Linked DNA regions of Coturnix japonica. The protein of the gene in region 1 purifies or fractionates together with the protein of each later gene. This does not show direct contact. Links are inferred from orthologs where the notes say so. Each region holds a gene or a part of one and is shown in the gene's direction. Other genes may lie near its edges.

Region 1 (10,788 bases):
ACCTTTTGAAGACACAGCAGTGTAATTAGACTAATTTATGTTATATCAGTATCTGTGACACGATGAGGGGAAATGGCTTTAAACTTGGAGAGAGTAGATTTAGACTAGATATTAGGAAATGATTCTTTACTGTGAGGATGATGAGATACTGGAACAGGTTGCCCAGTGAAGTTGTGAATGCTGCCCCCTCCCTGGAGATGTTCAAGGCCAGGCTAGGTGGGGATGTGAGCAACTTGGTTTGGAATTTGGAGTGATGCTGCCTGTTGCTGATTCTCGTCAAGTGCTGGTGAAGTTACCTTATGAATGCCTATAAATGTAAAATACAGAATACCACAAAAAGGGCTGGAGTCCATTTTAGTTAGTACTTCTGCCTTTTTAATGAATTAGAGAAGCTGGAATTTTTCAAGTTAATACGTACAACTTCTTGATCTCTAAAAAAAACTTGCTAGCCCATGACTTTGTCAAAACAAACAAACAAACCCAAAGCCTTGCAGTGTGTGAAGTCTTTCGTACTTAGTTTGAATTTCTGAAGCGAGCTGGTTCTGACTCCTGAATTTTCACCTTGGTAAATTTCTAAGCTTTGTTAGCAGAACTCTTAACCAGTTCTGAGTGAATTACGAAGTTGTTAAACTACTGTTATCATTGTGTTTTAAAAAAAGGATTTTAGCTTTGCTTTATTTGTTAAGCTGTAGAATTGCTGCTAAAACATAGGGCTGTAAATGCATGTTATCTATATTTTTAGTTTTGAATATAATGTTCCATACATGCTAATATCTCATTTGGTATTTCTTTGCCAGGCCTTTGATCTTTTCATCTTAACAATTAAAAAATCAAGCAAATTGGATTTTGTTTGTAGAGATAAAATAGCATGCGTAATTAAAACAGTTTTAAAGGGCATGTTTATTATCAAAACAGGACATGATTAGACAGCTGACAGGGTGGAAATACCTTTCTGAGCACCCAGAACATGTTCATTGCTGAGAAATTTAACAAACTCATTCATAGCAATGTAGTTCTCTTAAATGCAGAAAATATGTTTTACATTGCTGCTTATTCTCCTAATTAAATTAATAGCTGACACTTCGTGTAAGAAACCTTTTGTGGCTACAGCAAAAACTGTTCTTTTTTTTGCAGGGGGAAGGCTGCCTGTTCCTTTTTTGTTTTTATTCCTCAGGCAAAACTTACAAAATATAAAACGTTTTGTTTTCTAAAAGTTAATTTAAACTTATAAATAGTTATGCATAAAACAGTTTTCTTAGCCCTGTTATTCAAGTAATATATGAGGCATTAGAGAGCTAGCAGTAGCCTGCGGAGTATTCTAAAGTTATTGTGGCAATATATAATAAAGCCAATTATGTGCTTTTAAATTTGCTGCTTGTAACTTTTCGTTCAAAATTATTATATGCAGCATTATTTTTCTTGCTTCTTCTGATCCAGTGTGTTAAGCAGTGACCGTGGGTCCTCCCCTGCACTTGCGTGTTTTTTTTCCAGCAGTCTTTTTGATTACCGTGTATATCGTGCAGTGCTGTGTCACATTCCAGCCATTTCTTTGCTCTAATGGGAAAAGGCTGCAATGATTCTTGAAAAACAAGAATTGAAATTAAACAAAGCAGTTGATGGCTAATTGATCCGTGCTGTAAAGTGGACTTTCTGCCACAGAACCCTGAATTTTTCTGTGAGTAAATGCAAGATGTTAGTTGTTTACTGAGCTGCTTTCTTCTATACAACCCTTTAAATAGGAAATGTCTAGAGATAGTCTTGCTACCAAGAACAAAACCTTCAGAAATATAATCTGTGACTTAAAATTCATTAACAGGGACCTAGAGAGGCTTGTTTTCATGCCTTTGGAGCTTTTGCTGTTCCTGGGGGGAGGGTCATATGGTATTGGTCTTCTGCATCCAGCACAGATGAAGATTGGGTGTACAGGGAAATTAGTTGATGGGGAGATTTGTAAGGAAGGGGAAGATAGAAGGAACTAGGAAAGCACTGAAGAGAGAATGTGTGGAGGCATCTAAGAAGAGTCCATCTTTTTACTATATCTGTAGAATAGATGTTTATCAGTCCATATCTGTTTTCTATCTTATATGCAGTATACGTTAGAAAGTGTATGAGCATGTACTTGAAGTCTCAGGTGTATGAGTGGGCTAGAGAATTCAGAAGTAATTGAGTAAAACCATTAATGCTTGAGGAGTATTGTAAAGAAGTTGAGTTCTCTAATGCCTCATTTCTTTGAACCTAGTAACAGTATCAACAGAGTTTTCAGCTGATGCTTGACTGAACAGGCACTAACAGAAACTTGAACATCTGGCTGTTTTTCATGTTTTCATTTTTATTTTTTTTTAATACTTGAAAGCAGTTCTCTTCAGTCTCAGGAGAAAAGGTTGCAGAGACTATTTGCATACTCCACTAGGCAAGAAATCTGCCAGATAACCACGTCCTATTTAGCAGTTATTCTTGCCTGCTAGGTGTTAACTTTCATCCCAAACAGCAGTTCCATGTGTGATCTTGTATGCCTCTCCCCAATAAGATGTTGGCCTTAGTTACTGTTCTGAGCTGTACTGTGTTTTCCTCGTGGAATATCCTGTCCTGCCTCTGAGTTTTCAGTGCATCCATCTTCTTACTGCCCTTTGTTTCCTTGGTGGTTGTAGGAAGAAGCCTTTGGTGGGTAGGATGTATTTTATGTGACTGTGAAATGCTTTGGGGATATGTTTTTGGGGGATTATTTCTTTCCTTTTAGAAAACTGACTTGCAATCTCCAAATTGAAAACATTAATGTATGCTTTGAAATTAAAAGCTTTCAAGCACATGTAAAGGCATATTTACTTGTGCTTTACAGGTTTCTTGTGCCCCTTGATCAGCCATTTTAATCTTAATGAATCGAATGTTTGATTTAGTCTAGCCTAGTGTTCAGTGTACCGTGTTCAGGGTTTGGGGCTCGTAATCTGATAGGTGACGTGGATTTGCTTTTATGTGGGATTGCTTTTAGAGCAGAAGACTTTCATGAGTGTAGAAGATTTTTCTTCACTTTTTTTTTACCTTGTTATTTTTAAACTGCTAAGAGCATAATTTTGCACTTAATAACTCAGCGTAATTTACTGATCAATAACTCACTTTATAAGTGATATACATGTGATAAGTGTATTTAAATAATTTAGTGTACAGTGAATCACAATTAGTTTAGCAACGCAGTTGATTTCATATTGCAAAGTAGTTCCTCTTTAACATTTATTTACAGGTGAGCTGTGGTTATTGAATCTTTTACATACCAGTGATTTCCTTCAGAGAAGTACTGCTCCTATTATTTGAAATTCAATTTTGAATCATGTATCAGCTTGTTTCTTTTTCATATTCTGGCTTGTGGTTCTTGTTTTGATTGTACTATGTTCTGCTGATAACCGTGAGACAAGAATAGCTAAGTAATATATTTGCATACATTACTGCTGATTTAAAAACTGAGCAGCAAAATTTTTTTTGTAGAACTCTGAACACAAACATTACAACATCATTACTCTTTAACTTGTGTCTTGGTTTTATTTCCTACCAGAAGTGGAAGAACTATTGACTTCCCTAAAACATATCCAGCATGTCTTGGTAGACCCTCAGAGCCAAGAGGATATCTCTCTCATCTTACAGCTTGTTCAAAATACTGATTTTCAGAATGCATTTAAGATACACAACGCGGTTACAGTGTACATGAACAAAGCCAGCCCTCCGTATCCTCTCATCTCCAACGCACAAGAACTAGCACAAGAGGTATGTACAGTATGCATCTCTGTGGTATCTATACGAAGTGTGTAATCGTAGCTGTTGTTGAAATGTGTACTTGGTGAACTTGTCTGAGTTACTGCATGCTAAATAGAAAATGGATTCCAGTAGTCACTGATTGCTGTGTCCAGCTTTTCCACATCTCCAGGAAAACAGTAACTGGAAGAATATTTTGGGGGTAAGAACACCCATTTTGATGTGAGTAGTTATGTAAAAGAATTAAACCATGTAAAAGAATTAAACACAAAAGGGAGCAGTTAGGGAAAACTTTTCATGTTAGGTTATTATTATATTAGTCTTTAGTCCAAGCATTAGTAATTGCATTGCAGTTATCTGTTACTGTGAGTTTTCTCCAAGTTTAGCCCTGGTTCTTAAATTTGGAGGCATCTCTGAAAACACAGCTGTACTGGAAGAAAACATTTTGCTTTAAAGTAAGCAGCAGGTGCCTTCCTACTTCATTTCTATGTTTTGATTACTGCTGTGATTGTCAGATTACAATTAATTTTTTTCTGCCATGAAAAAAAATAAGCTCCCTGATAAGACTAATCATGTCTTTTAGAAATGGTTAAACATGCTTTTAGGGATCTACTTCAGTAAGATTTAAGACTTCCATATTTTCACTGAGATCAGAAGTATTTGAAATACTGTTAAAAATTTTGTTAACTGTTTTCTTTGAGTCTTAATCATTTGAATGCAGATGAACAATGTCTATTTATAGTAGCCTTATAAGGCTACTTGGTAGACCCTCAGAGCCAAGAGGATATCTCTCTCATCTTACAGCTTGTTCAAAACACTGATTTTCAGAATGCATTTAAGATACACAACGCGGTTACAGTGTACATGAACAATTCACTGGAATTACTTCTATATTCCAGTTTCATTGGAAATTCTTCAGATACAAATTTACAGATAACAGAGGCAGTATCAGCACAAGTGCAACAGGTTGCATTCTGCAGAGCCAGCTCCCCAGGCCAGTTAAGTACACCTGCTCAGACCTGGCTCAGGTGCACTGGCGCATTGCTCACAGATGCATCACTTCCATTTCAGTATGGCAGCAGGATGATTCTTGTAGTGTCTGGTTTTGTTGATCTTGAAAGTCAAAGAAAACAATGTTGCAGTCTTTGTTCTTTTGCAGAATTAATTACTGGCTCTTGAGAGATGTCAATAAAACATTCTCAGAAGGCACAGTTTGCCCAGTAATCTGCTGCTCAGGATTTTTCTGTTCAGGCTTGTCAGTAAGATTGCACCAAAACCAAGTGGGAATATCTTTCCAGTGAGCTTGCCTCTGGTTTATTGGTCTGCCTCTAGGCTGCTCCAGGATGCTTGTTAAGCTTCGTCTGAGTCTGGAGGAACCTTCCAAGTTAACTTCTGTTTGTAAGCCATTTCCTCATACATACATCCTGCCTGTAGGCCTAGTTTGCATTTTCACTCAGGTGCAAGTCAGAGATTTTAAATCTCTATTTGTATATTGAATGTTTAGATTAATATAAGAAATGTGGTTGGTTTTCTCCCCCACCACCACCCCTCTCCTTCATGGATATGATATTTCTTTGGTGCTTAATGGAAGTTTCCAGGAGGAATATATGCCTTCCAACTCTAAATTACCCTGCAAGACAAAATCTTTTCTTGACATCTGTAGTGGAATAGCAGAGCTTTATCAGTATAGGGCAAACTACAAGTCAGTTCTCAAATGTTCATATTCCTCCCTGCCCTCTTCCCTAACTCCCACATTCTCAGCACATTCCTCTGTTATTTTCAAGTAGTTTCATAAATCCTAAAATCAGAAGGCAGTGCAAAGGCAGTTATGTGTCTTAGCAGTAATGCATAAAAGCATTTAAGAATTAAGTATTTTGCTTGTCTGGTGGAATTTTGTCATGACCTAGAAGAATATTACATAGAATGTGATGTATTCCTGCGCTTGTTTTGATGCTCCATCCCCTGTCTGTGTCTTGTCACAGCCTTGAAATTCCTGAAGGGAAATATATTGCATATGTCTGTACTCATTTTCAGATGTAATCTAGATTCAGCTTCTGATTTATTTAAGCAAATCATATTTTGCAATACTTTGAATAACATCCTGAGATGATTAAGCTGGAAATTCAGGACAGATATTTCTGTGACCAACAGAAGTGTTGTAAGGAAAAGCTTGAGGCCTCCGTTCATGTCATTCTTGTTTGAACAGATCTTACATTCATTTTTCAGTCCTGTTATCCCTTAATGAGGAAGTAATTTTTTGCTTCAGGAAAAGTTGTTTTCCACACACACACACACCTCCCAGCAGGGGCAGCATGCCCAATTATTTTGTAGTTTTTCCTGTTTGTGCCTTTTGCTTTTCTCATCTCTAAATATTAGGTTCCGGAAGCTCCCTCAGAACTCAGTACTTTAATCTTTTTGGAGCATTACCTACTTCAAGGTGTTTTTAAAGAGACATTTGGAAAAGTCTTTAAGGTGGAATGGAGCATTTAGGTGTAGGGAATTTATTTTAAAGACCTAATCTCCATAAAACATTGTGTTGTTCATCTCTTAAACAAAAATAGCCAGTAAACATCAAGTGTAATTAAATTGATTTTAAATCCTTTTAAATTTGACCAAAATAGAGGCAAGGATTATGGGAACATGGTCTGAATCTTGACCTTGTAAGAATATTTGATGCAGCGTGTAAGACACTTGGTAGTTTTTAGCTTGTAACACCACGTCAAATGCCTTGAATATATTCTTGCTATTAAATATACTCTACAGACTCAATTTATATAAATTATGTTCCTAAATACCTGATACCCTTCACTTCAGGAACTGTAATCAATTAAATTTGATCAGGCCTTCTGAGAAGACAGATTGTATGTTTGTAACTTCCAGTGTAATTTTTTTATTATGTGAATGTACATTGCTCCCAACGGTCGCACTGAACCCACGCAACATGGTTTTGCAGGTATGATTATATTCTGAAGGGCCAACATCATTCCAGTGTGAGCCCTCTGGTATGTGTCTCACAGTGTGCCTCCAAATTGTGGCTTTTATAATGAAACCCCATTAATAATTTCTTAGCTGTTAGAGTTCAAGTTAATGTAACTAACAATAAAAACTGGAATGAAGGGTTAAGAAAATAATAGTATTGCCAAATGTTTAGCGCGGAATGCTTATTCTGTCTGTGGTGTGTCACTTCTGGAACGTCAGCCTAGATTTGGATTTCTTCACCTGATGAGACATGGAATTCTTTACCTTAAATAACAAAGCAATCTGACATGCAGCAATACCAGTGTAATAAGAGTTGCACAAAGCAGACTGAACCTTTCCTAGTGATTCACACATTATATTAAGCAAATAAATAATGAATTTATCTTTTCCTTAGGAAGGAGGTGGAGGAGCTGTTAGCGTTTTTGAGTAATATAATTTTTCAAAGAGGAAATTCAGCTGCCATAGAGGATGCTATTGCACAGAGGATCACTGGTTGGGCCAAGTCACAAGGCATGGAAAAATAGAGGAGGAGGGGAGATGCTGTTCTGAGCATCTAAATGTATATATGGCTTATTGTGCGCTTATTATTCAGGCTTCATATGTGAATCATGTAGCAACTAGCAAAATGTTACTTTAAATAATATATTGTTTAGGATTGTTCTTATGCTAAATATTTATTTTATAAATTCACAAAGCGTGCAGATTTGATTCTGAGATGTACTACATACGTTCGTAATTATTGGTACATCTTTTTCTCTGTCTAATACTTAGCATCTGGCCACATGTTTGAAATGTCTTGCTTGCAGGACTTCTAACTGGGGATAACTTCCTGGCAGCTGCAGAGATATGACTTAGGTCAAACTGATGTGAAGCTGAATTCCTTCTGTTCTCTGTGTTTTTATCTAAATTAGTTCTTCAGTTTAGTTCTTGATTTTTTTTTTATTTTTTTTTTTTGTCACATTTTTCATCCTTAAGAGTGGAAAACTCTCGGGGAAAAGAATGTTTTCTATCGCACAGAAAGCTGCTGTTATGTATAATCTGTTCTTGATTCCTACAGCTTCATTAGTGCTTTTGGACTCATGACTTTGATGCAGATTAGGCCTGAAGATAATTACTGTAGAAAGTATCTTCTTCAACCTTGCCTTTAGATAAAGGGGAATGCCCTGCTCCTGGCTTGCCTTTAAAGCATACAGGGATTTTCTGTATTTGAGATGATGGCAAGACCTATTTAAGTGAACAGGAATGCAAACCTTTTTTGGCAACAAAAGCTACTTGAGCAAGAACAGCTGTTGTCTTTCTGTGGATTATTCTTTTTCTGTGGCAAACAAAATAAATAATAGCTGAAGAAAACTGGTTTGCTGAGATGCTGGTATTTTGAAGTTTTGACTCTTAGAGTTTCTGAGGCAGATGTTCCAGCAAGTGCTGCAAAACCTGTCTTGGAATCTTTGTTCTTGCTGCTAGTAGCAATACTGGGTTAAAAATAAATCATCTACTTTTAAGGAAAAGGAAGTCTGGTCACAGTAGTGAGAAACTAGTCAATTTTGAAAGATGTAGCAGTATTTGCATGGTAGGCTTCACTGTGGCTAATTATGCTGTCAGGTTCTTTTCTCAACTTCTTTGCATACATCTCTTGTGGTAGCTGAGATCATTGTTATCATTGTTAGTTTTTGTTGAGAAATCCATGTGATATACTGGATACCAGTTTGCATTCGATAGAAAATCACTGAGGTGCAGCATTCTGGAGTAGTCCTGTGATCTCACTGCATGTATTCCTAATGTGTACTAGGCCAGGCTCAGTGCGTCAGTATAACAATTATGTGCGCATATTTTACTTTCAGTAAAATGAATGATGATTGCAGCTAAGGTTTTGTGCTTCAGTTGGAGAAGGAAGACTGATAAATCACTGGGTAGACTGAGAGCTTTACTACTTCATTTCTTTTCAGGTTCAGTGTGTTTTGAAACCCAGTCACCACAGGGATGGGCAGGAACTCAATGCCTTGCTGAATGCCCCTCACATGCAGGTAAAAAAAAATTATTGTATTCTGCAGGTATTACAAGGTAGTTTTGACGTGAGCAAGGTAGCACTAGATCAGTAATGTCAGTGGCAACACATGAGCTACTTACTTTCCTGAGGGTTTTTTTCTGTGATAGATTCAGCTATTGCATTCTTATAGTAGGGTGCATAAAGAGAATTTTGTCCAGTGAAGTAAATTCATGAGTAGTTTTGACTGCAGTAGGTTTTTTTGCTTCTGTATCTTTGACATACATAGTAAACCAATGTCTGACTTTTTTTTCAAGAAGGAGAAGCCATAAGTATAGTTCCAACTTTGTGTTCAAAGTAATTTTGTATTATTTTCCAAAACCGAAAGCAGAATTTTTGTCAAGTAGAAATTACAGTATTCTGTATTTATAAAGTATTCTGTAGTTATAAAGAGCTTTCAAATTGCAGAATTTCATTGATGGCTACTATTTTGTATGCATATGGAATTAGAATTTTTCTCATTTTGTTTAACACTAGGCACTTCTACTAGCACATGATAAGGTTGCAGAACAAGAAATGCAACCCGAGCCTGTTGCAGATGAAAAAATTTATGAGAATGTTGGCACGTATGGAGGGGAAACGGTTAAAATAGTTCGTATTGAGAAAGCTCGAGATATTCCATTGGTAAGTATTTGTACTTGCCCAGTTATGCTTAAAGCAGTAAAGCTGTCTTTGCAGATAGCTATGAAAGTTACAGGATTTGAGTGTGAAAGTTATATTTAACTTAGAAATCATTTTCTTCCCCACCTGCCCAAATGATAAATGGTCATAAATGATTACTTAATGCGCATTATGATATAGCAGTAGACAGCACTTAGAGCCTGTATAGCTTTCATCGTGTGGATTTGGCTAGGGTTTTATTATAGCAGTCACTATCCAAGTTTAGCTGCAGGAAAGCTTAGATTCTTGTCCAATTACAGGTGGCTGTGTTATGTTAGTGTTCTTTTTAATCTACTATTTTGCATCTTTAAAATTAGTGTTTAGGAAAGCTTTTATTTAAAAAAAAAAGAAGACTATGAAAGTGTAGAGTAGTTTATTTCTTCAATCTTTAATATCACAGAAACAAATATGGTTTTTGTTTTTGTAAACTAGAGCATTACATTCAATATTATATGCATTTCTTTCAACGGAGAAATGTCTCCTCACTGCCTTGAAATACTTACAATAGATGGCTTTGAGTTTGTGATATGTAATAAATTCAGAATTTGTTTCTACTACACAGGGAGCTACTGTTCGTAATGAAATGGATTCTGTCATCATTAGTCGAATAGTCAAAGGAGGTGCTGCAGAGAAGAGTGGGCTGTTGCATGAAGGGGATGAAGTTCTGGAGATTAATGGCATTGAGATTCGTGGAAAAGATGTTAATGAAGTTTTTGATTTACTGGTGAGTTGGGAACTTTGTTTTCCCTGCAAAAAATACTCCTAAGGTTGAAGTCTGTTACCTCTGCTTGTCATTTGTAGACATATTTGCAATTATTTTAGAGCCAACTTTACTCTCATACTTAATACTCACACATGGTGGGCCATTTTAAGCTTACTTTCTCATGTAAGGTGCAATTTTAGCAAGTATAATGGCAGTTAAATGCAAAAATGAACCTTACAAATGTGAACAAGTCATGCTGTCATCTTGAGGCTTATTTTAATGACTTCTGATGAAAAGCTTTGCTTAGCTGTGAAAAGCTGTGATTTTTTTTATCTGTCTTGGACTCAGTTCTCAGTTAATATCAATAAATGTGTGCCTGCATGATTCTGGTCCTGCCTGGCTGACATGGAGTTCACCATCTTCACAGTAGATGGTCTCTCTCTTCAAAATCCAGTGTTTTATCTGTTGCTTGCACAGCATCAAAGTGGTTTCTCTTCTTCATTCTGTCCCTTCCCATGAGTGGGTGCATAAGATGTTGTGTTGGGGACAGTGAGGACAGGTGTTCTGAATTGACCAAAGGGATATTTCATGCCAAGTAGTACCGTGCTTAGGAAGAAAAAATGGACAGTTAGCCATTTCTTCAGTGCTGGTTTTTTTTTGTTTA
Region 2 (10,788 bases), on another chromosome or scaffold:
GGCTAAACCGTGCCCTCCTCCAGCTCCCAGCACAGAGCCCCTTAGTTTTGTCTCCCAGGAGCCTCCGCAGAGCAAGAACTTGTCAAGGCCACTGCCAGAGGTGTCGTGTCGTTCTGAGCCTGGGATGTGCCGGGCTGAGTGCCCCGTGGCAGCTCTGGGGGGTGATGGCAGGGGAAGACTTAAACCTTTCAGCTCTTCTGATGACCTCTGCTGGCACCAGCATGGGGGAATTCCTTTTTTCTTAGTTTGCTTTTGAAGGAGATCCAAGTCTTAAGATTTCATACAAAACCTTATGAAACTTTCCCGCTCCCTATGATGCGTTGAGTTCAGCTCTCAAAAGTGAAGACAGTCAAAACCCAGATACACGCTGTGCTGAAGAGTGGGGTTTTTTTCTGGGGTTACAAAACACTCCGCTTTCTGAAACTCATGATTTTCGCAATGATTTTACGATTACGTTGGGACTTGTGACATGAATTTTGAACTTTGAGGTTTGCAGCTTTGTCTACCAATAAGATAATTAAGTGGCTGTAGAAATCTGGGAATGGAGTTGAGGAAGTTGAATGCAGAGTGGACAAATAGTTTTTTACAAGACAAACCATGGTGTTTTGGGTTACTTCATAACTATCATCGAGGAATGGACCTCTTAATTTGTGAATGATCTGTTGGCACCCCGATCAGGTCTAAGCATCAGTACTTGGAAATTGATTAATGATTATGTGTTTGGGTCCTCAAACACAAACAGGGCTATAGTGGATGGAGCTGTGTGCTTCTCTGGAGCCTGAACACCAGTCTTGGGGACTTGTTCTCAATTACATATTACTTGAAAACTTGGAATTAGCTTGTGTTCTCAGGGATCCCCTCGCACCTGAAGGAGCTGTCTACCTTAAATCACACCTTTCCCCCCCCCCCCGCCTTTCCCCCCCGGCTCTTTTTATTTGAAAGAAAAGAGAACAAAAGAAACATTAGGAGTGGTTTTAACGTATTGCTCAAAGAAAAATATCACTGTAAAGCATTGCAAGCTGACTAGAGGCCAGCTTTAATCACGAGGGATCCCAAAGTGCTGTGTAAACTTGAACTTTCCTGCTAACTGTACCTGAGGTCCACTTCAGCATCTGCTGGAGAGAAGTGCTCTGCAGTGGTTCTCAGCAGTGCTTTGGGGCAGCCCAAGCAGGAAGCTGATGCTTTCTTTAATGTATTTCCTTGTGATTTTATGTTTTCTTTTTTTCACCTCCTTCTCCAGGGGACTTCTGCATGTTAGATGGAGCCTAGATATCCTACATACATTTTTCTGCTCTAATTTTTCTTCCTTGGATCTGCACCCGTTGCCATAATTGCTATTGTTACACCCGCTGTAATGGAAAAAAGATTAATCTTGGAGACTGTCAGCACGGCTCTTTGAGGCTGCCTTTGAATGACGCAGGCTATTTCTCATGGTACAGTTTGCCAGCACAGCTGAGCTACTGCAACCGCTAGTTGCTGCTGCAAGGTGTGGTCCTGTTCCCAGCCCCATCCCATGTGCTGTTGTTTGAGCACTAGGTGGGCAGGAGGCTCGGCCCCACCAAATGTGGGGGCTTGTTGGGTGTTTAACTCCCTGCTCCAGTTCACTGTGGGATCAGATGAATAAAGGCCAGCCCAGATGGGACGGGAAGGAGGACAAAATGCATGAAAGATACTTTGGCTTCTTGGCTGTTAGATGGGTACAGTGTTGTCAAGTTGTTATTTCCTGCCATACTGCATTTCTTTTCTGGGTTTAATCTTCACCCTACCACTGGCATTAAGGTGTTTCAAGTCACTTTTCCTCATAGGAGTTCTTGTGTATCTCACTGTTGCTGGTTTGCTTTATTGTTTTACTGCTGATGTGAAAACGGGGAAGTTACATTGATTATGAAGGGGAAAAAACCCTTCATATTCCTGTTTTTTAAGATTCACACAGTATTTTTAGCTAAGGAGGTGAAGTTTGGACTTCTTGGTTTATGTGAAGACTCAGGAGTATATAAGGAAATGGTATTTTCATCTGTACTTCAGAATCAGATCTCAGCACAGAATCAAAGGCCGCTGCTGTGCTATTTTGTTTCAAATAGAAAAGGAAATAAAGCTGCAGAACTCACATAAGTTCAGATGCATTCCTGAAAGTCTTTCAGGAGTTGTGTGCCTCCTCAGCCCCTCCTATGAATTTGATTTGAAATGACCTCCTAAATCTGTTAATAGTCTTGTGAAGGGACTCATTTTGCTTGGCCCTAGGTGGAAACCATGCAAGTCCACCGAGTTCTGCAGGAATTCTCGTAGAAGCCAAAATTGCTTACATTGAGCAAAGTGTACATAAATCTGAAACTGTGCTTTGTGACTTACCACCTATTTTTTTTTTTTTTCTTTCTTTTTCATCTGCTTAATTATTATTCTCTTATGTATTTCAGTGTCTTCCTGGAATTCCAGACATTTTTGGCTGGGGCGTGGATAGGATCAGAGCTGAAAGGGTCAGAGGTTCTGCTGGGTGAGCAATAATACACAAACAACCATACTCGCTCTTGGATTGCAAGATTAACAAAGTAAATGTAGAGCTTTTTTTGCAGTATAGATTTTTTTTTTTTCCCCAAATAATTCCAAATTTATATTGTTCTGAAGTTGCACTGTTATATACAGGGCATAGTCTAAATTATGTAATTTGTGCTATTAAACAGTTGACTTCTTTCAGAAGAGCTTGTACTAAGCGAAGAAATCTTGTTTCTTGTGTTTTTGGTGTAACTACTTTGATAGGTTTCAGAATGAGAGGCTCCACCTGAACTTTATAACTTGCAAATGAAAGTCCTCTAGGCCTCAGCCTCAGCTGCAGACCTGTTCTCTTTCACGTTGCAGAGAGGGTGGGAAAGGACACCATGTTCCTTTAAAGCTTGTCTCATATATAGGAAAGAGAAAGGCAAGCACATGGAGGAGAAGGACATAGTTTTCTCTTACCTATTTGACACCAAAGCTGTCACTAAGATGCTGGATTAGGAATTGGGTTAGCCAATTTGGGACATTGATGCTATGCTGTTTTGTGAGCAAAGGGGACCTCATCATTTTATGGGAACTTCTTGAAGAATTGTTTTATTTCAAGATTTCACCTGTATTGCCACATAGCAGGGCTGAGCTGTTGTGAGATACACAAATAATTAAAACAAGTGGAAGTACCTGCTAAATAATACAAAGAGTTAGGTATTGTGTATTTGAAAAGATCACAGTTTTAATGTTCTCATTCCAGATAATTTGGTTGAACATAGCTGTGTTGATTTCTTTGACCAATTTGTTGCTTTTGTTTTATAATGTGTATTATTCCTCATCTTTGGAAGAGTTGTTCTTCCTTTTCTAGTGTAAAAGCAGCAGCACACAGAACAAGGAGAAATTTGTGAGTGTGCTGGGCTGCTCTGCAACTGGCTGTACTGAAGAGCTAATTGTGGTGTTCTTTAATTAATTTTGTTATAGTTAACTTAATATTTTACTACTGCATTTATTGACATTCTACCTTAAAGCATTCTACTCAAAGATATCATGTATTTGTTTGTTGTTTTTATCTCATCTAGATTATTCTGAGTAATTCCAAAGATATTCTCCAACATGCCTGAAAACCCTGCTGCAGGTATGTAGTCTGAAAGTGAATACTCTGTTAAGTGGTGAGAAATTATGCTCCATTCCTAACATATAACTACTTTGTGGTGCAGATAAACAGCAGGTGCTGCAGATCATTGACCGTCTGCAAGCAAAACTGCGTGAGAAAAGAGATGTCCAACATAACGAGAACCTGTCTGTGCTGCGAAACACGCTCAAGAGCCCTTTGTTTAACCAGATTCTGACCCTCCAGCAATCCATCAAACAACTGAAAGATCAAGTGAGTGTAGAATTACAATTGTTGGTGTGATTATAACTATACTGAACTTGGAACAAAAGTCTGTGTAGGCATGCGCTAATGAGGACAGTCATTAATAAGCTATAAGTTGGTGCTACTGAATGTTGGCCTTTTTCTTGTCAAGCCTGTATCTATTGAGTCACTTCTGACATGAGAAATGACCTTACAATGCTCTAGTCATGGGGCACCATGCTTTGATAAGGGTGTAGAAGAGACATCGAGAACCACGTCAGTCTGAGAAAAGCATCTGCAAAAGACATCAGCTCTAATACTTTGAGTTCTGAAAACAGTTGAAACTGAGATTCTCTGTTTTTCTCAGTACTGTTCATCAGCTGACTAGCAGCACCTTGTCTCCTTAAAAGACACTATCCGTTAACTGCTGCTGACTTGTACAAGAATGGTTAACATGCTTTGGGAAATAAAATGTAGAAAATCACCCTGAAGATGTGCCAAGCTCTGATGCAGACATATCCAACCTAGCTTTTAAGTCAGTTAAGTATGGCAGTGGAAGTCATAATGCCAGTAGATGCTTGGATCTTGTAGACAAAGATGTTGTTGACACCTCTACCATGCAGTTTGCCAAGTCAGGCACGGAAGCTTAAAAATCAGGGACTAACTTGGCACACTCTATGCAACACTAATTCCTGTCTTTGCTGTTACTGAACCTGTCCAGCTGCAGATATGGTGGGGTAGGTCTCAGGAGAATGGTGCCACCATGCTGTCATTGCTAAATATATTGCCAGTATTGCTGCCTGGATACCATGTAGTGGCTCTGCCATTCATACTTGTCTTCTTCCCCTGTTTGCATTGTTGGAGCATCTGCTCCCGTCTTCCAAATCTTGAGTGCACGTCTGCAAGCTGTTAAAAGTGAGCAAAAATCCAAATCTAGGCTCATGCATCGTAACTGTGGCATAATAGATTTTATATCCAGAATGCTCAGGCTTAACATGTCTAGAAAATAAAGTTTTTGGGTTTTTTTGTTTGTGCTTTTTTTTTTTTTTTTAAATTTTTCTAAGCTTGTCCCCTTTGAGAACTTTCATTCAGGATGGGATTTTTTTTGCTTTACTTCGTTGCACTGGAAGTGTTTCTGCTTTCCTTTTTGTTATTTTGTTGTGTCCTGTTATTTAACAGGACTGGAAACTGAACTACAATTCTAGCTGTGGTAGCGTGTTCAGTTGTAGTTACCTTGTGTCCTAGGTGCACTCTGTATATATTAGGCATTTGAGTGGTTAAGTGACTCGTAAAATTTTGGATTCTAGTGTGAAAACTGTCTGAATTTGCCTGACAGTTCCACCAGCATTTGAGTGCCTCTTTAAATATTTGGTGCAGAGGGAGAAATGAGTAGGATGGGCACAAACTGTGAAGAAGAATGGTAGAACTGACAAAATCGTGTGGAGTAGAACCACAGCTGAATTATTCAGGGAACATTCCTTTCTGTAAAACAGTTTAAAGTTGGTGTGCTGTCTTGATTATAGCTTACACGTTAACATTACCTAAATTACCCAGGTGAGAGCAGTTGTGAGAATGTGGATGTATAAATGTGATTCTTTGTCAGTCTTCACGCGAAATTATATATGTTGAAATCTGTGTTCGTTTTTAATAGTTTTGCCACATCTCTGTTCATTTTTAACAGCTCAATTACATGCCACCTGAGCGGTCAGTAGACTTTGATTTTACTAAGAGAGGACTACTGGTATTTGCTGACAAATCAGTTACAGCTGGAAATGTGTGTAAACAGAGCACTTTACCAGAACCCAGAGCATCTACCTTCATTCCAAACCCAGGAGTTAATGATTTTAATGCAATCATCCAACAGATGGCAAAGGTGAGGCTCTCAGGTTCAGTCAACCAACCTTTAATGTCAGACTTTTTCTTGCATGATTTTGGAGCACTTGTTCAAGCATACTGTTTGATTGTATATCTTGGAGTGTGATGCAACCTAAGCCAGTAACAGAGGTACCAAGGACCCTTGTTTGTTTGTTTTTTTTTTCCCCCCTATGAAAGATTACGTCAACAATGGGAAGTATTTTCTTTACCATTTCTTTTATTTTCTACCACATCAAGGTAGAAATGAAGGTTTGGTTTCCAGAAGACTTTTTTTCTTTGTATTTGATGACACTTAATTGAAAATGGATGTTTTCTGCAGAAACTTGTTTTGATGGAAAGATTTTTTATCAAGTACATTTTGAATTGGAAATGTACCAGCTTTGTTGATATATGAACAGTGCAAATGATTAAAAGAGCTGGCATGTAATATTTTATTTAACTCTTCATTTAATATGTCTCAACTTTGCCAGACAGATGCTGATTTCATTAACATGATGTAGCATGTACCAGATGCTTATGGAAGCTGTACAGGTGCAGACATCTACCCATGTGCAATTGGCATTTATACCATGAGTGCATTGTTCTGTGTTACTTTGAGCCATTAATTTAATTGGTTAGTCGTGCCTTTCTATATTAAGTAACTGTTGCTAATTGACTACCTTAATGTAGCTGTAATATTTTCAGCATAACTCTTCTTGTTAGCGTGTCATTAACTCATCTGATAAAAGATTTAACAGTAAAGACTGCACGTTATTTTGGATAAAGCAGCTGCGATAGAAGTGCTTTCTCTAAGTGTCGCTTCCCAGTAAACAACCCCAGAAATGATGTGTTTGAACTGAGAATCAGGCAGTTGCAAAAGCCGAGTTTTTCTGTTGTTTTGGTTTTTATTTGCATTACATGTGAAGTTGCAGGAATGGGAAGGAAATTAATTTCTTTATTTAAAAGCTGCAATCTTTTGAATGCGTACCTTAAAATCAGCATTAAAAGCTAAGGGAGCCAAAAGACAAGTAATTTAGTTTAACTATGCAGCATTTCCAGAAACCCCAAATATATTGCTATAGACAGCACTTTGTTCTTAGTTTTCATCCAGTTTGGAATTCATCTCATAATGTGAATGAAGTGTGAAAGCAGCTCTTAAATTCCCTGAGGTTTCAGAATCTCAGAGTGCTCGCATATCCAATACTCTGTTATATTAAAAATAATAAATGGAGGAGCTTTTATAGGAATAACATATTTAGTATTTTGCCTTTGTTTAGTCTTAGGAGAGGAATAATTCTCCTGGTGCATAAATTTTGAACTAGCTCATTCTATTGCGTTAAAAATTAGTTAATCCATTTCTTTTTATTTTACCAGGGGAGACAAATAGAATCAATAAGGATTGAAAAGCCTTCTGTCGGAGGTCTTGGATTTAGTGTTGTTACCCTTAAAAATCACAACTCAGGAGAAGTTGGTATCTATGTCAAAGAAGTTCAGCCAGGAAGCGTGGCTGACAGGTGAGATCTTTATAATTGTAATGGAAAAATTGCAGCAGTTCTGTGAAAAGAGAAGGCCTGATTTTTGCCTTGGAGGCTGTCAGGCTAACGTGTTTGTTTGGATTATCTGGTGGGATGCTTTGGAGGTCGTATCTCGCGTTCTGGCTTTTCAGCTAAACAGACTCATGTTTTGAGGATCAGATTTTCAGATGAGTTCCAAATATCCATGCCGTTCACAAATGGAATTTCCAGAAAACATGACTCACTGAAGAGAACTTTGAGTGCTGATTGAAAAACAAAGGCAGCTCGGAAAACAGTACAAGGGAAATAAAAACTCGTCTCTGGATTTTTATTCATTGTATTACTGAAAGATTTTTTTTTTCCCCCTTGTTTCTCTATTTATGTGCCTATGACAATGCTCTATTTATAGTTGGGTTTACTGTGTGTTTCCTGTGTAAATTAAGATCCAGTCCTTCCAGCAGATCCCTGCGCAGATGTCATCATAGAATCGGTGCTTCAGGCACTTTTTTCCTGTATTATCTGCAAGTTCTCACCCAAAAACAAAAGACAGAGCAATCCTTGAAAAACAAAATGTGATTGTAAAACCACGAGAGTTGGCATGAGACAAATGCAGTGCTTGGAATTATGTTTAAAGAAAATGTGTCTAGATTACAAGTCATTGGTGTCACTTTTTAAATAACACATGTCAGGAAGTGCCAACATAGGATGACAAAGAGTGGGGAGAGGTTGGAATGATAATGGCTATGGGCCCACAGAGAACACACCAGAGAACGCTTACAAGAAAAGCATATTAGGCTCTTTCAAAGTGGAGACAGATGGACTGATCTGGATGTCAAAGGAGGGTGAATATCTCACTTTAGGATTTGATGACCTGCTGCTCACTTTCTTTGATGAGAGAGTCTAAAATATGGCGAATGCCTGAAGAAAGGCGTTTCAGGAAAACATCTTAAATGTGGCGTGGTAAAAATGAACTTTAAAATGCATTAGTTAAGATGTACAGCTATATTGTTTTGGAGGTTTCAAAAATCTCCCGGCATGTTCGGTTCTGAGTTAAGATCTCCTGGAGTCTTTTTTGGATTCCTACAGAGCTTTGAAGGCAGTGTCTGTCTATGTAACAGTTTGGTCTCATGCTCGGAATGAATATTTAACAAAGCGGATAAGTGATGGTTTCTCTCTTGTCACAAATCTAAATTCATCACTTGGATGAATTAACTGTGAGATTTATGTTATCCAAAGGTATAATATAAATCGAACTGTCTATTGCCTGAGGAAAGTTTCATGTCTGAGTTTTGATGATATAATTTATGAGTAAAATAGAAATATACAGCTTAACTATCTTTAGGATCAGGTGATGATATAAACCAGTATCGTAGCCTGAGTTTTGGATACTTGGAAATGATGTCCTGTGATGCTAAAAGTAATGAAGAAGAGTTCCTAGTTAGCTGTGTAATTGCAACTTTTTTTTTTTGTCCGATTTAACATCATCAAGAAAGAGTGAGGAGATTTCATTGAATTTTGAATAGTCGAGGGAAGAAAACTGAATAAACTTGCACACTATGATAAAGTTAGGACAAACTTTGGCTGGGCAGTTCAGTACAAACGTATATTGTGTGTGATTTGTAAGTTGAAGTCAGTCTAATGAGTAGATTATTTTTTTTTTTTTTAATGTAAACTTTGCATGGGAAGTCACTGTGCTGCATTTTGAAATTGCTTTTAATGTTTTGTTAAGGGATCAAAGACTAAAGGAAAATGACCACATACTGGCCATTAATTGCACCCCATTGGATCAGAACATTTCTCATCAGCACGCTATTGCACTCCTCCAGCAATCCACGGGATCTTTACATCTGGTTGTTGCTAGGGAGCCGGTTCAAGGAAACAGCAGAACTTCGCCTGTCTCATTGAGTGATACAAATCCACCTGAGACTGTAAGTTGTTGCGATACAGTCAAAATCAGATTTTGAACTATGCTGGGTACTCTTTTTAGTAGTTTTAAGTGTTTCTACAAGTTAGCTTTACATACAGGGTTTGGGGTTTTTTTAATCATGTTTTATCTGTAGTTACATTTGATTTAGACTGATCATGCAGTAAGTGTAACGCTTCCATTGCAAAGCTGCATGAAGCTGTTATAAAATAGGTCCTGGGTTTTTATGTGTTAGTAGAAGTTATAGTAAATCAACCATTTTCTAGCAGCAGGGTCTGTTCAGCATAGTCTGGATAAAGTGTTTTATAAGTATACCCAGCTGAAAAATACTTGCACTTAGCAATTAAAGATGCTCTGATTATATCTTAAAACACTGTAAACATAACCTATCTTGAGCACTGCTTGAAATACCAGAACCAGTGTAAACTTAAATTGCTCAAAACCGAATGCCTTGCCTTTGTTTTTCTTTAATTTGTTAAAGAACCTACCCATTCATTTTTTTTATCTTCTTTTTTAATCTGCAGATTTCATTCATTGTGAGCTCTTTTGTTTTCTTTAACAAGGAGTGATTGTCACTCAGATATAATAAGCTAAGGCTGAGCTTGCATCTGTGTTCAAGCCATATGGTCCAGGTGGCTTCATTGAATTTGGTTGAACTGCACACCTAAATCCAGGGTTTGCAATATTGGAATCTTAATTTATTATGCTAGCAGGTTTTGATGAAAATCTGGTTAAGAGCAGTGTTTTTCCTTATTCTCAGTAATTATTTCCCTTATGATTATTACAGAGGTAGTGAAATCTGAAGGTTTTAGTGGATAATCAATATTGTTTATTGCACTGAAAATTTTAAAGAATTAAACTTTAACTGCTTTTTCATTGAAAGATCTGCACTGAACAGACTAACAAAATAAAATACAAATATATATCTCTACAGGGGGTCTTTAAACTCCTTTTATGATATTTAACTGGCTTTGGCAAAGATTTTCAGTATGCTAATAAATCCTTTATTCACAGAAGACTTAAATCTGCCTACTTTGCTCCATTTTGGTTTCTATGAGATATTAATCTGACAGAAACATTGCCTGCGTTTGGGTTACTTAACAGCTTTGTTATTTTCAGATTGTCTTGTAGAACATAAGGTCATCGCACAGCGTAGCTTAGAAACATGCTTCCAATTCAGCATGGCAGAATTTATACTGCACTATTAATTCAGCATGTACTGGTGCTGTTTAGAGTGTGTAAGTGACATAACAGATAGAAGAATTTGGGCAACGCTAAGTGAAAACTAGGCCAGTTCAAGCTTCTGGACTGTTTCTCTGTTTGCAATATTCTTGATTTCTGAAAAACTAGTAGGATAGTTTCCATTTTGGCAAGAAAATCTTTGAATTACTTTTTCTTAGTCAAGCTTTTTCCTAGTATCCTGTTACAAAAGTGAAGGACAAAATGTATGTTCGGTAAGAGATGAGAAACCTCACTGCATATTTATAAGGTAATGTAGTCAACTGAAGAAAATCCAAGAGATCTCCAGTATGTGGCAAAGAGAAAAGAGGTGCTTTGATTCTTGTTTCTCCTGGTACAGGTGAAATTGAGACGCATTAAAGATGGGCTGAATTTAAAGTCTTCTCTTCTTATTAATTGCAGATTCGTTGGGGCCACGTTGAAAA

The links. Proteins that work in one complex are often made in the same cells at the same time.
Region 2: the proteins of MPP5 (region 1) and PATJ purify together in Homo sapiens (co-immunoprecipitation; 5 studies listed by BioGRID and IntAct, counting the BioPlex papers as one, with this or other methods). This does not show direct contact. The link is inferred for Coturnix japonica from reciprocal best matches to the Homo sapiens genes PALS1 and PATJ.

Annotation. Positions count from the first base shown.
Region 1 is NC_029520.1:27,489,437-27,500,224, forward strand, and holds part of MPP5 (MAGUK p55 subfamily member 5), read left to right. Parts: intron 1-3,544; coding exon 3,545-3,753; intron 3,754-8,663; coding exon 8,664-8,741; intron 8,742-9,238; coding exon 9,239-9,385; intron 9,386-9,983; coding exon 9,984-10,145; intron 10,146-10,788. UniProt on the Homo sapiens protein: Plays a role in tight junction biogenesis and in the establishment of cell polarity in epithelial cells.
Region 2 is NC_029523.1:24,549,839-24,560,626, forward strand, and holds part of PATJ (inaD-like protein), read left to right. Parts: intron 1-2,414; 5' UTR 2,415-2,546; intron 2,547-3,557; 5' UTR 3,558-3,591; coding exon 3,592-3,613; intron 3,614-3,695; coding exon 3,696-3,862; intron 3,863-5,513; coding exon 5,514-5,705; intron 5,706-7,060; coding exon 7,061-7,200; intron 7,201-8,929; coding exon 8,930-9,128; intron 9,129-10,765; coding exon 10,766-10,788.